Linked DNA regions of Drosophila melanogaster. The protein of the gene in region 1 interacts with the protein of each later gene in a pairwise test. Each region holds a gene or a part of one and is shown on either strand. Other genes may lie near its edges.

Evidence for each region.
Region 2: the proteins of Bicra (region 1) and ssp6 interact in a two-hybrid assay, tested with the Drosophila melanogaster proteins (one large-scale study listed by BioGRID).

What each region holds. Positions count from the first base shown.
Region 1 is NT_033777.3:29,062,106-29,067,009, reverse strand, and holds the start of Bicra (BRD4 interacting chromatin remodeling complex associated protein), read right to left. Parts: upstream 3,183-4,904; 5' UTR 2,429-3,182; coding exon 2,398-2,428; intron 1-2,397. Other genes in the region: Cul5 (cullin 5), read left to right, coding at 4,120-4,128, 4,205-4,904.
Region 2 is NT_037436.4:6,075,086-6,082,932, reverse strand, and holds ssp6 (short spindle 6), read right to left. Parts: upstream 6,212-7,847; 5' UTR 5,894-6,211; coding exon 5,588-5,893; intron 4,015-5,587; coding exon 3,652-4,014; intron 3,592-3,651; coding exon 1,660-3,591; 3' UTR 442-1,659; downstream 1-441. Other genes in the region: CG6610 (uncharacterized protein), read right to left, coding at 6,881-6,910, 6,976-7,172, 7,245-7,293; CG13295 (uncharacterized protein), read left to right, coding at 7,816-7,847.

The DNA.
Region 1 (4,904 bases):
TATATAATTATCCAACATCTGTTATATTTGTACTTGAAAAAGGCCATAAGTAACTGCTTATCAGTTAGTAAATCCCACATAAACATATCGACATTATGAAATTTCGAATACAATCTGAGCAATAACCTTGATAAGGTTTTATTTTGTTTATTGATTAATAAATAATGGCTACCAAAGTTGTCGTCGCAATAATAATTAAACAATGTGAAAATTCAAATAAGAGTCGATTCTAATGGCGCCTAATGGCCCGGAAAATCGATTTCACCTTAAACAGAACTTAATGACTCTTTGTCACGCGTCAACGCGAAGAAGACAGCGCGAAAATCGAAGCAATACCAAAACAAATCGAATCAGATTGTCCGAAACGCCTCCGCCAAATGAATGCCAAGGGTGTATTCCCCCGATCCACTTTCTAAACCGGGTTTAAATGCAAATTCCAGAGCGTTATGCCCCCGGCCGTAATAATAACAATCTATCAGCCGGTAGATGGAAAACGTTTCCAATGTAAACACTGCCAAAACGTCTTTGTATAACCACAATCGTATCGCATGTAAACAGTGTAAATATCGATAACGTTCCGGGTAATGGGTGGAAATAGGGTCAGTGGAGATTAGGAAATGGCGGCAAAACAAGCACTATAGTTAAAAATAATCGTTGTCACTTCTTTATAGCTATTCTTCGTCTTTAATCAATTATGACAGCGACATTTCTCACAAAAAGAAATGCAGCCACTGACCAATTCTTAATGCGAACTATCGTATTTTAATCATATAAAAAAATGTCATATTTCCAGCTTATCATGCTTTGTACTTTTGCCATAGTTTACTAGTTAAAATAAAGCAACAGACTGATTACATTTAATTTAAGTGGAAACGGAAGTCATTCGGGAATAACAAAGATTATTATCGAGTTGGTTTAGCTCGAAGCGAACCGGTTATCAACTGCAATTGGAAATCACGCGAAATTCTATACACCAATTAAGCATGGCTGTACAGTTGATTTTATTCTATGCCTTATTTATTTGACTGTGGCTAATTTCTGGCAATACCCTGCAATTGTTGTAAATGCACTTGCAGTGGAATAGCCACGCTTATTCATTCAATTTGCTGGCACGTTTTGCATTACACACGACAACCCTGACCTACAAAGTGGGAAATAATAAAAAAATCAAGCAAACGCAACTGCTGGCCCCTGTTTTTGTTGCCTTGCATCGAAAATTGTTTGTGCCGTTTGACTCTGGCGCTTGAGCAGAGTTTACATTGAATGTTATAAATAAATTAAAGGAACACAGCGTGGGAGTATGTGTTAGCATTTGTATGTGAGTTGTAGTGTGTGTATGTTAGTGTGTGGAGGGGCCGGACAGTCTGAGTTCCCAAAGCGATGCACGGCTTGCATTCAACATTCATTGCTAATTGCAGCTGATAAGTGGACAGCATTCCTCAACGCCAAGCAGCTACGTCTAAGCCCATTACTATTGTTGTTGTGTGCCAGCATTGCAGTGCAAATTGCGGCCCTAGGATTGGGGGAAATAGATTTCTTTCCAACACTAAATCTAAATGATAGCATAAATATTCGTAAAGCTGGCTTAATAGATTGACGGCTAATTAGCTTAATAGCTGGATTACAATAGTCTCATCCATGTACCACCTATCCTTTCTCATTTGCTGCTTAATGCATTTTCCAAAGCTTACTTTTTACTTATTAAAAAGTAATAATAAATTTGGCTCAATCTTTATGAACTTCCGATAAGTTCCTCAAACAAAACAGACCAAACTTCAAGCGTCTGGCTTTTACCATGGTATTATTCGCCCATAATACTAATTGCCCTGGCGAAAACAAAACACAAACAAACCAAAGTTGGTGATTTTTGATCTGCTGCTTTCTTCCCGGACAACACTCACACATGGACAAACAGTGCATAAAGGCTATAGTTATATGAGGCACATTTACATCTGCTTAAGACAGTGACAGATACTTTCTCTTTTCCCCGCTCGAGAGTGATGAAAGTCGGGTTAAAAATAGAATGGCGAGCGAGTGGAGAGCGGATGGCCGCCCCTTGCATTCATTTATAGTTTTCAGTGATTTGGCTTTTTGATGAAGACTCATAATTACGCTGGTTTTTGTCACTGTACAATGGCCGAATTGTTGGAGTGTCGGAGGTGTTTACAAAGTTCAAGTGTTTGGGAGCAGCTGCGCAGCCAGCGTTTATTTTTAGCACGAAAGAGCAGCGAGAGCGAAGCAGCGAGAAGAGCGGCGAAGAGAACGTGCGCAAGTGCATTTTTAAAATCAGAATCGGATGCTGCACGCTCTTGCTCTTGCTCTCAGTAAGCGTGATTACGAATTTGGATTTTCTATTCGTAGTTTTTTTGTGTGTGTTTTTGATTGGCATTTTCTCACCTGGTCGATCCAATGACTGTCTGCGACTCATTGGCAAAAGATTTGTGCTGCTCTTCTGTTGTGTGGTGTTTTTTTCAGGGGGGTTTTATAGACAATAACGTCGGCGAATGCAAATTATGCCAATTTTGATTGATTCATTGGGTAATTTGTTGCTGCTGGTTGTTGGTTCCTTTTGGCTATTGCTTTTGCTTATTTCCTTTTGCCGCGCTGCTTCTTACTCAATTCTATACACTCAACACACACACACGCGGACATCTTTCGAATTTCATTTCACACGCGACTGTTGACTTTCTTTTTGCCCCTCTCTCACTCTAACGCGCTCTTTCTTTTTCTCACTCTCTGAGAACTCGACAGATGTTGTTGTTGTGGGGCCTTTTTTTGATTTGAGGTGTTGCTGCTTCTGCTTCTATTGCAATTTGTGACGTGCTGTTGTGATTTGTTTGTTGCTGGCTTGTGGTTTGAAAAACGCTTTTTCGACAACACACATATGGGGAGCACGCACACACTCACTCGCCAGCAGCCAGCACACACACACAAACACACACGCACGCACACATTCACTCTCGCGCGTCACGTCAATGAACGCAGCAGCACGTAGTTGTTGTTTTCGTCACTGATTCTCGCCTTGTACGCACATTTTGCTGGCTAATCGAAGCACTTGATCGGCAACTGCTCATCAGAGCCTTGTTTATTTACATTGCAGCACGGGGCTAGTGCACTTTCCCCGATTTTATGCGTTTTTCTCTCGATTCGCACGGCCGTACAACGAGCGCCGCCGCCGCAAACAAAGGGAAATGGTGAATGCTAGAGCTGGAAGAGAAGCCGATGGTTAGTCGATACTATCGATGTATACAGATAACTGGCAGCATCGATGTTTGCCCCGCAACCATCGATTGTATTCACTCTAAAAAATATGGTTTTCTACAAGAATTCAATGTTTATAAATAAAACAGTCACTTTAATAAAAGCTTAGAAAACTCTTTGTGATTTATAAAGATTTAAGCGCGTTGTTTACGATAAGTTATAAAAACTAGGGTTGACACCTGTCTGTGAAAGACTTTTTGAATGTAAATAAACATCAAGACGGCAATAACGTAACGAAATTAAATTGATAAATAACTTTATTTTACTAGTTTAACAAATAAGAATATAAAGAAAACCATACAAGTTTCCGCACTAAAAACAAAATATATTATTTTTAGAACACGAAATAGTAAGCGATATTTTGAAATGCGGAACTGAGTATTTCAGGCACATCTGACAGCCCTGAAACAATGCAGACCAGACATTAGGTCGGGGACGTGTGCTAGACCGAGATGTCTGCTAGTACTGCTTTTGTCTCACTCGCGCACGAAGAGGTAGAGAAGAAAAAAACCAAAACGAAGTGGGCAAACTAGCGAACTTCACAAAACCCTCGACAAGACAACTTTGTATTATTGCCCTATTTCTCCTTGGTTATTATTACCGCGGCTGGGCGAGGTATCCCTTAATGTTCGATTAATAACATTTCCGCAGATTTCCCGCACTTTTGCTGCACTCCGAACTGTTGTTTTATCGACTGCCCGAAATCGATTGGTCGATGGGCGATAAGCCCTACGGGCGAAATTTTACCAACACTGGTCGATAGCCAACTATCGTATCGTATCGCCTAATTACAAAAAATAAATATAAATGAAGTGAAGCGGACGCAGCAACAAAAACAAAGAGATTGCTACGATCAAAATGCTACGGGTAAGTGACCTGATCGGCGATGAAAACGCATATAGAGTTCAGTGTGCACATATACCTTTATCTCCCTGTACGACAGGCAATCGGGAAACGGGACAGGGACATCTTCGAGGAAGTTTGGCCGGACAAAAGGCGAATAGTTTTAAAGCTACTGCGCCAGGACACGGTGTCGCAGCGCGAATGGCAGGACCTATTCTTCGGCGTACACTTCGTGTGCCTGTGGGACGAGAAGGGCGCGGCCAAGATCTACGACTGCCTGCAGCAGGACATCGTTGAGTTTATCGTCCAGGCCCAAAGCCAGGTGCAAGCGCAACGGGGCGAGCAGGCCCTTCTGGCCACCTATATTGTGGAGTGGCGGAAGTTCTTTACACAGTCCAACTACCTGCCGCTGCCTTTCCGCCAGCTGGAGCAGTCGCCCCAGGTGAAGCCCTCCTCCAGTGGCAGCAGCTCCTCCGCATCCGTCTCCGCCTCGGGAGCGAGTACGAGTGCCGCCGCGGCGGCAGCAGCTACTTCCTGCAGCGGCCAGGCTGGAAAGTCAGGAGCCTCCACCTCAGCCGCAGCTGGAGCCTCCACTTCAGCCGCCGCTGCTGCAGCCTCCACATCCGCCTCCACAAGCTCAGCAGCGGCAGCTGCAGCTGCTTCCGGAAGTGGGAGCTCCAGCAGCAGCACCTCTACCTCCAAGAAAAACCCCACGGAGGACAGTCCTGTACGAAAACTAATGCTGGACTCCTGGAACAAGCACATATTCCACGACATCAAGCATCGTCTGCAGGAGTCGG
Region 2 (7,847 bases), on another chromosome or scaffold:
TACATTTTTAACGAGGAGGGTTGGGGGTTGGTATTGATTTTTTTGCCACTTTGACAGCTGCCTGGTGCCAGCGATGGCCAACAGAGGGCGTCGCTGACAGTTGCCAATTTCGCGGGGGATGAACAGCTGACCGGCGAAAAGACGTTACATGTGGAGACTTCCAATGGTAACACTCTACAGGGGTTGTAAAATGACCAATAGGTACGGTAGGTGGCGCCACTTTCGAGCCAATCAGCTGATGAAATTCCCTGGGGTGTTCCACAAGTTTTTATTAACCCATAAAGCCGATTTTTATTAAATAAATTCAATTCTATGTACACCTTATTTTTAGAAAATTTTCGCAGGAATAAAGAATAATTCCTCCTCCTACCAATAATATATCTTGTTCTGTTTCTATTTTTATCTAGGGGTCACACTACATGAACACATTTCTTGAGTTTTATTGCAATACATAAGTTCAATAACATTTACATTTCGCATTACATAAAAGCGTTTTAAATTATATTTGGTTGGTTGCTTGATAAAAATGCGACTAAAATTGTTGCGGTTTTTAGTGCTCTTTCACTATCACAATGAAATAAATTACATTGTTCGGATACAGTATGCAATAAATATATATGCTTAAGTGTGTATATGCTACATGTAAAACAGTATCTAGTCGCATGATAGGTTAACCATATTATATGGCAAATACAGATACATATATAATCCTCTATCTATCATTACAAGACGCCAGATTTTTCTCTCATTTGGAATATGCGCGTGGCTTTTCAGTCTTTCAATAAATCCAAAAATCTAAACGTCAAAGCGTCCTAGTTATATCGCCTATATATTAAGTGAGTTTCACAAACAGAAGATAGCTATAAGTTTAGTTTTTATAGGTCTTAAGGTGTTCTAATTTCTGAATCATCTACTCTTAGAAGTATCTTCTTTTGGGCTTATCTCTGTGTATTGTCCTGCGGTTTTTGGATGCTAAATATTTATCTTACATTTATAAAACTCACTTAACATATTATTGAATAGTTAAGCTACATGTTGATTTTTGTCTGAGTTATATGTTTAAAATTTGGCTCTAGTTACCATTTCAAATGAGTTCGATGTTCGGTTTTCGAAGACGCGAATGGATCAGAATATGAGTGCACTCATGAGCGGTTCAACTAAGTGAATCATGCACAGGTTAGGCGTGTGAGTTGATTTGAATGAGGTAAGTTTGGAATGAGTACTAAATTCTTATCTTTTTTAAGAAGGTTTTTTTCACCATTGACTACATTTGGATACCAAACAAATAATTTTCTACATTTTTTAGTCAAGCTACAAAATATTAAATTATCTATTCCTTAAATACCTAATATAATTTTGTTCAAAAATTACACAACATTGAATATACAGATATCAGTTTAGAAAGAAAATTCTATTTTTATTTTTAAATAATAATTTAATTACCAGACTAATCAAAATGATTGATTCGACTTTTATTCTATTCAATATTTTTTTTCATACTCATTCAATTCTTTCTCATTTAAAATAACATTTAGTTTTAAACCTCTATTAACTGAACACGCCTATCAAACTTCAAAACTATTTGATCATCACCCTCTACCCATGGTGCACTCATATTATTCTTGAGACGGATCTCGTTACGGTCTAGACAACTTTGACCTACAATCTGGTGGCCTCCGAAGTCGTCTGGACATCTCCTGCACCATGCACCTGCTGACTAGTGGTGGAGGTGCCCACATCAGTGGTAGGTCGCGGCAGATGCGAGTAGTATCCCAACTGGCAGGAGTTCTGGTGGGACAGCTTCTGATTTTGACTGAGTTGGTACTGGGCCGCCTTAATGGCAGCCTGTTGCTGAGGCGTCAAGCAATCGCAGGCGGCCAACAGCTCCTCCGTGGACTTGGCCGTAATTGTGGTGGTTGTGGTGGTGGTCAGCTCGCCCACAAACTCGGTGGGCGGTGGGGCATAGTTCTCCACATCGCCGTAAGTGGAGTATCTGCCGTACGGGTTCCTTCGCGGCATCGAGTGACGCTGCTGGGCAATTTGCATTTTTATGGCTGGCTTAACGGCCACAGTGTCAAGGTAACCGTAACCCACATTAAAGCCCGCCTTGTTGGCTAGATTGTCCCAGGATTTTGGTTTCTGGACATAGGCTATAGTGTTGGGATAGATCTGCTGCGGTTGCATTTGTGTGGTGGTCACATGATATCGTTGGTGGTAATCCCCCTGGTGATGATGATGGTGGTGGTGTCCCTGGTGAGTTGGCTGCTGCTGTTGTGGCTGCTGCTCGTAGGACTGCCTGGATTTTGTGGAGTGCTGTCGGGACTGAGCCGTCTCACTTGTGGGATCCCAAAACAAAGTATCCGTACTTATGGATGTGGTATATGAAGCTGTGTCTCCTGTAGCAAACTCACTTGAGGTGCAGGAATGTAAGCTACAGTGGCTGGCTAAGCCGGATGCCAAGTCGAAGTAGCGGGATCGGGTGCTACCACTTTGGGATTGCACCTGGCAGGGATTGTGCATCTGGTGGGGATAGTGGTGGTGGTGCGGAACAGTCTGAATGGGCTGTTGTTGTTGCTGCTGCTGTTGTTGCTGCTGCTGCTGCTGTTGTTGTTGCTGTTGTTGCTGCTGCTGCTCATGGCTATGATGGTGATGATGATGATGGTGGTGATGTCCAGATCCTGCACCCCCGTTGGCATTGGGTGAGGCATGGGATGTGGACTTGGGTCTGACCCTCTGCTCCTTGCTCTCCACCCGTTCCCTGTCACGATGTTTGTGCTTATGCGTGTGCTCCTTATGCTGCCGATGACGTCTTCTTGATGGCACACAATGTGTATCGCAGCACGGACTGGCCAGATCATAGGCATCCAAGCTCACGTTATCCGGCGCCGGAACAGCTGACTTCTCCGCCGACTTCCAGCGAAAGTGACCCAAGCAGGGATTGCACGAGTGTCCCACATGGCAATGCTTGCCCGATGACTTTTCTTTCTCTGGCTTTGGTGGCTTAGCAGGTGGCTTGTGCTTTTCACAGGTGCGAGGAGGTGGTGCGGGTGGCTTCACCGATCCACCCGTGGTGCTGTGATATTGGGTAGGAGCCGTTGTTGTGGGTTGAGTCATCGAATTTGCATCCACAGATTCGGTTTGCTGGAGGACATAGCGCTGTGCCGGCGGCTGGTGATCACTACTGCTCCGCTGAAGACCCAATCCGTCAACGAATTCCTCTGAGCTGCCGTGCGTGGGTCGCAGGACGTAGCGGTATGTGGGATCCAGGTAGTGGTAGGTGAGCATAAATTGAGCGGGAGGAGGTATGATTCCTGGGCCACCGACCCCATGCTGGCGGGCGGCAATATTGGGCACATCCTCGGTGGACAAAGCGGGTCGGTAGAAGCCAGCTTCACCAGCCACCTCTGTGGGTGATACTCCTTCTCCATCACTGGGCGAAGTATTCGCATTGGCCTTCTTACGCGCTGGCAAACTGTGCGTTTTCCACTTGCCCTCCAATAACTCACGCTCTCTGAGGTGTACCCTCTCCAGTTCGTTCATCTTTTGCTGCAACATGCTCTGCAGTTGGATGTAGCGCATGTGGAGATCCACCTGGGGAATCACACGTTTATCAGAAATACGTTTTAGTTTTCTATCCTTTAAATACTTTACCTTCCTCACACAGTCCTCGAAAAGCACTACCATTCTCATCCTGGTGTCGCATTGCTTGATGAACTCGACGATGGTCTTGTGGTCCGCCTTCTCCATATCTTTTCCGTTAATGGAGAGGATTACGTCTCCCTCACGCATGCCAGCTCGATAGGCCGGACCTCCGTACTCCACGTAGTCCACGTATGTGATCATTTCCAGCTCCTCATCCCGTTTGTAGTGGATCCCGTAGCTCTGCAGCGTGAATCCATACGAGTTGTTCTTTTTCTCAACGATTATGGTGCGACGTCTTCGGTCCTCGTCCGGATTGGAGGCCAGATATCGCTCGGATTTGTGGCGCCCAAGGATATGGGTAGAACGGGATAACTGGAATGTCATTAAATATTAAACGTGCATAATATGTAATATTGTACAATAATATGGAATTCCTTTAGCAAGAACGCAATTCTCTATAGCAATTCAAACCACATTGGCCATTGGAGAGCTGTGCTCTCTATCTGTGAAAGGAATGTGTTGATTTGCGGTGAAAGTGAAAAGCTTATATGCTAAACTATCGTTGGCACTTCCGGGTATTTGCACGTCTAGGCAATGTGGCACACCAAATAGCCGCCAGGTGTGGTGGTGCAAACCATCAAAATGATGTTTGCCAAGCCCATTCCTTCGTCCCTACTGTTCTTCCTGCTTTTATTGAAAGCATTTCTATGAATACAGGATGAAGCCCCCAGCAGGCAACACTTTCACTGCCCCCCCGAAAGGAAAGCGGGTTAGATAGGGAAAAGCAAACCAACCCAGAATACAGGTACGGACAAAATAATACCATGCAAGCCATTTCCACGGATTAACAAGTTGGTAGTAGAATAAAACAAAAAACAATATTTGTAAGATAGTCAAGCTTAAAGTTTCGGAAAAGTTCATGGTATAAACAAGTGTACTAATAATATTTTTATATTTATATCGATGACACCTATTTTTAGATACAACATGCTAAGTATAGAGACACAGCACAGTTCTTTCATTAACGCTTTTTTGTGCGGGCGTAATAACTGGCTTGAAAGGCTTTAGAACAGACCTCCCGCCGACTATAATGCCATCGGCAAGGAAGAGCAAATTGTATGGCATTATGTACAGAAATACAGTGCCCGTTTTAAATGAAATTGTAAAGATTTTCATTAAAAAAGAAAACGCGGAGAAAATGAGTTAGAAAACTATAAAAAAAATGGTGCACGAATTCATCGTTTCTGCCTTATGAACGGTTTAATTCATTTGAGTATGTAAGTTTAATTCCATTAATTCTAGTAAAAACTGTGTTTAGGTGTAGTCCTCAAATTAAAGCTGTATTAACTGCATTCATTTTTATATTGTGGCTCATATCGTGACTTTAGTAGAAATTTTGACCGAGCTCCCCATTAATGGTGCTGTAAATATGGCATGCTCGCAAACATGCCCCTTTCATTTAGTGACCCATAAATTAATCCAACTGGTTAATTTTTCAAATTGCCTTGGCCAAAGTCAAGGCCCTTGCAGGGACTAAGCTGCTCGCAGGGTGTACGATATATTTCAATATATGACTATTTCCGGGGCATTGAATTATTAACACTTGATCGACGACGGCGGTTGTTGGCGGCTGTTGAGGTTGCCTGGCGAAGCGTAAACTATGCATAACGACCCGGCTGGTGGGTTAAACAGCTGTGGGGGCAGCAAATGCACTGGGATGGGAGCTAGGTTGCGCAAACCACCCCCAAGTACACCCACTCAACAAGGCAGCAAGCAACCACCATCCATCACACACCACCCAACACCGCCACCACCCACAAGACAAATTCAATTGAGCCAGCAGTGCAGGACCTTGTCGCATTATTATGACTCAGTGTGGGGCACAATTGAATTCAGTTGGAGACGATTCCGACTAGCAGTTGGATACTTGGCCACTTGGACATACCTGCGCATACTCGATTTCCTCGTCGCTGGCATCGAGACTCTTGTGGAACTTGAGCCTGCCCAAGCTGCCGGTGCCATTGACATAGTGCGACGCTTGCTGATGGCTCTGATGATAGAGGTGTTGCTGCTGGGACTGGGAATAGTGCTGGTGGGGATGTGGCTGCTCCTGCTGGCAGGCGGCGGCGATGAGGGAGCCTACAGAGGTGGCATTGGAGGCCGAGATGGACACCGCTGCCGCCGTGGTGGCCGCACTGCTGGCCGCCGTCGCAATGCTTTGGCAGCTGGTGCTCATGGGCTTGCTGGCCATCCTCCACTTATTGATTTCTTCACGCAGTCATAATTACAGGCGGATCATTCGAGCCGCTCAAATGAGACACCGACAGATACAGATACCGAAACACGGGTATCTTTCGCTGCAAAACCGGACAACCTTCACCACTGAAGTTCACACATCGACTGTGGCTGCTGCTAGATGACTGCAATTAGTCATGGCCATTCATAAAGTTCACTCCGAGTTGCGTTTATCAGTGCTATATCGGTTCTGGGTAAAAGTTTTCCATATTCGAGTTCGGTTCGGTTTTGTTGTCGCGTGAGTCTGTTTCCGCTTGGTTTGTTCCACTTCCGTCGAAGCCTGCTGCCGTACTGAACGCTGGAGGTGCCGAACGGAAGCGGGAGAACGCACGCAGAGCAGAGCGGTACTGCGGAGAGTGCACTGCACCCACACGCACGGCCAGAAGGGAAAAGCGGTTAATATTTATGGCACATGTTGACTGCTGTATCGCTGAGACCCAACATTTTGGGGATGGAGCGCATGCGCCTACTTTGCATGGCAGCCAGAGCACAAGTAGCGGTTGAATGTTAACGGAAAGACACTAAATATTTAATGTGAAGTTTGAATTTTTGAAGCTTGGAAGTCATTTTACAGAATTATTAGCGGTCGACCTTTTTCGGTATTCCATTTCAAGTGTATCCGGTCCCTATAAGCATAAAATATGCTTATTTATGTAAAATTAATTCTATTCCAATTGATAATTTAACAATGTTTTGTATATTAGGTAATATTATATAGTGTTTTATTCTGAGATTAGAGGGCAAATAATTTTCATTTCCTAAGCCAAGCGTTTTCAAATTCGTATCTGTTAGGACCAAAAATCTGTTAACATTGCTGTTAATCACTTGACCACTGCTAACTTCTAACATACCTCGAACATTTACATACGACACAATATTATCCACATTAAAACGACCGTTTTGATATTTTACAAATGTATTTATGTTTACAAATGGAACCTTGCTACTCCGCCAGCTCTCCGCCAGGCACCAACTGAAATCAAATTATAAATGAAATTTAATAAACAAACGTATGTAACTTCGAAAAAGAGCACCCACCATTGTGATATTGTTCCCGTTGAGCAGAATCTGATCCAGTTTGGTGATGCGGCGGCCGTCGGGGGTATTTTCATACTCCGTTACGTCGTCCAAGAGCATATTCACAAAGTCATCGAATCCTAAGAGAGTTCCCACCATCTCCTTGTCGTTCTTCATGATAATGTGGATGCGGGAACCGATGCATTTGTCCACCAATTCTGTAGGGTAGTACGGGAAGCCGGCAAAAGTTAGAAACTCTCGATTTGTAGACCTGTAGCAGATTTACGTACCCAATGGCATTAGGGTAGAGATGTTGGAGGGGGGTGGAACGGCAGTCATGTTGTCGTATGATTTGTTTACTATTATTAACAATAATAATTGGAATTGCGCTAAAAACTTTTTAGCAGCGAGGTAAACAATGCGGAATTCTGCGCAAAAACTGGCCACATCAAAAGTGTCAGCGTCAGTGCTGCAAAATCTTGTGGATAGAGTTAGCGTGAATATAGCTAAACGTTTAAAATTAATTAAAACATTTGTTTTCGTTGAAAACTAATTAATTTATTAATTACAAACTCATTAAAACTTTTTTATGACAAACTTATCAAGATTAACTATTTTATCGCAAGAATTTAAAGAACAATTTGTCAACATGAGGGACCTCAAAACACCCACCCAAACAGCCACCACTATTACCCAGATAGTAATGGATATTTGGCATTCAGTGCCGCGGTCCTACCAATTTTACCTCATAATTCAAGATCAGGAGTTATATATCCAAAATCTTAATCTCGCGGCAGTGCTCCCGTATGTTGGCCATCTGTGACGCGGTGCAGTGTTGTGCTGCCGCCCACTGCTTACATAATGTCCATGTCGTTGGGCTCCAAGATCCGGAA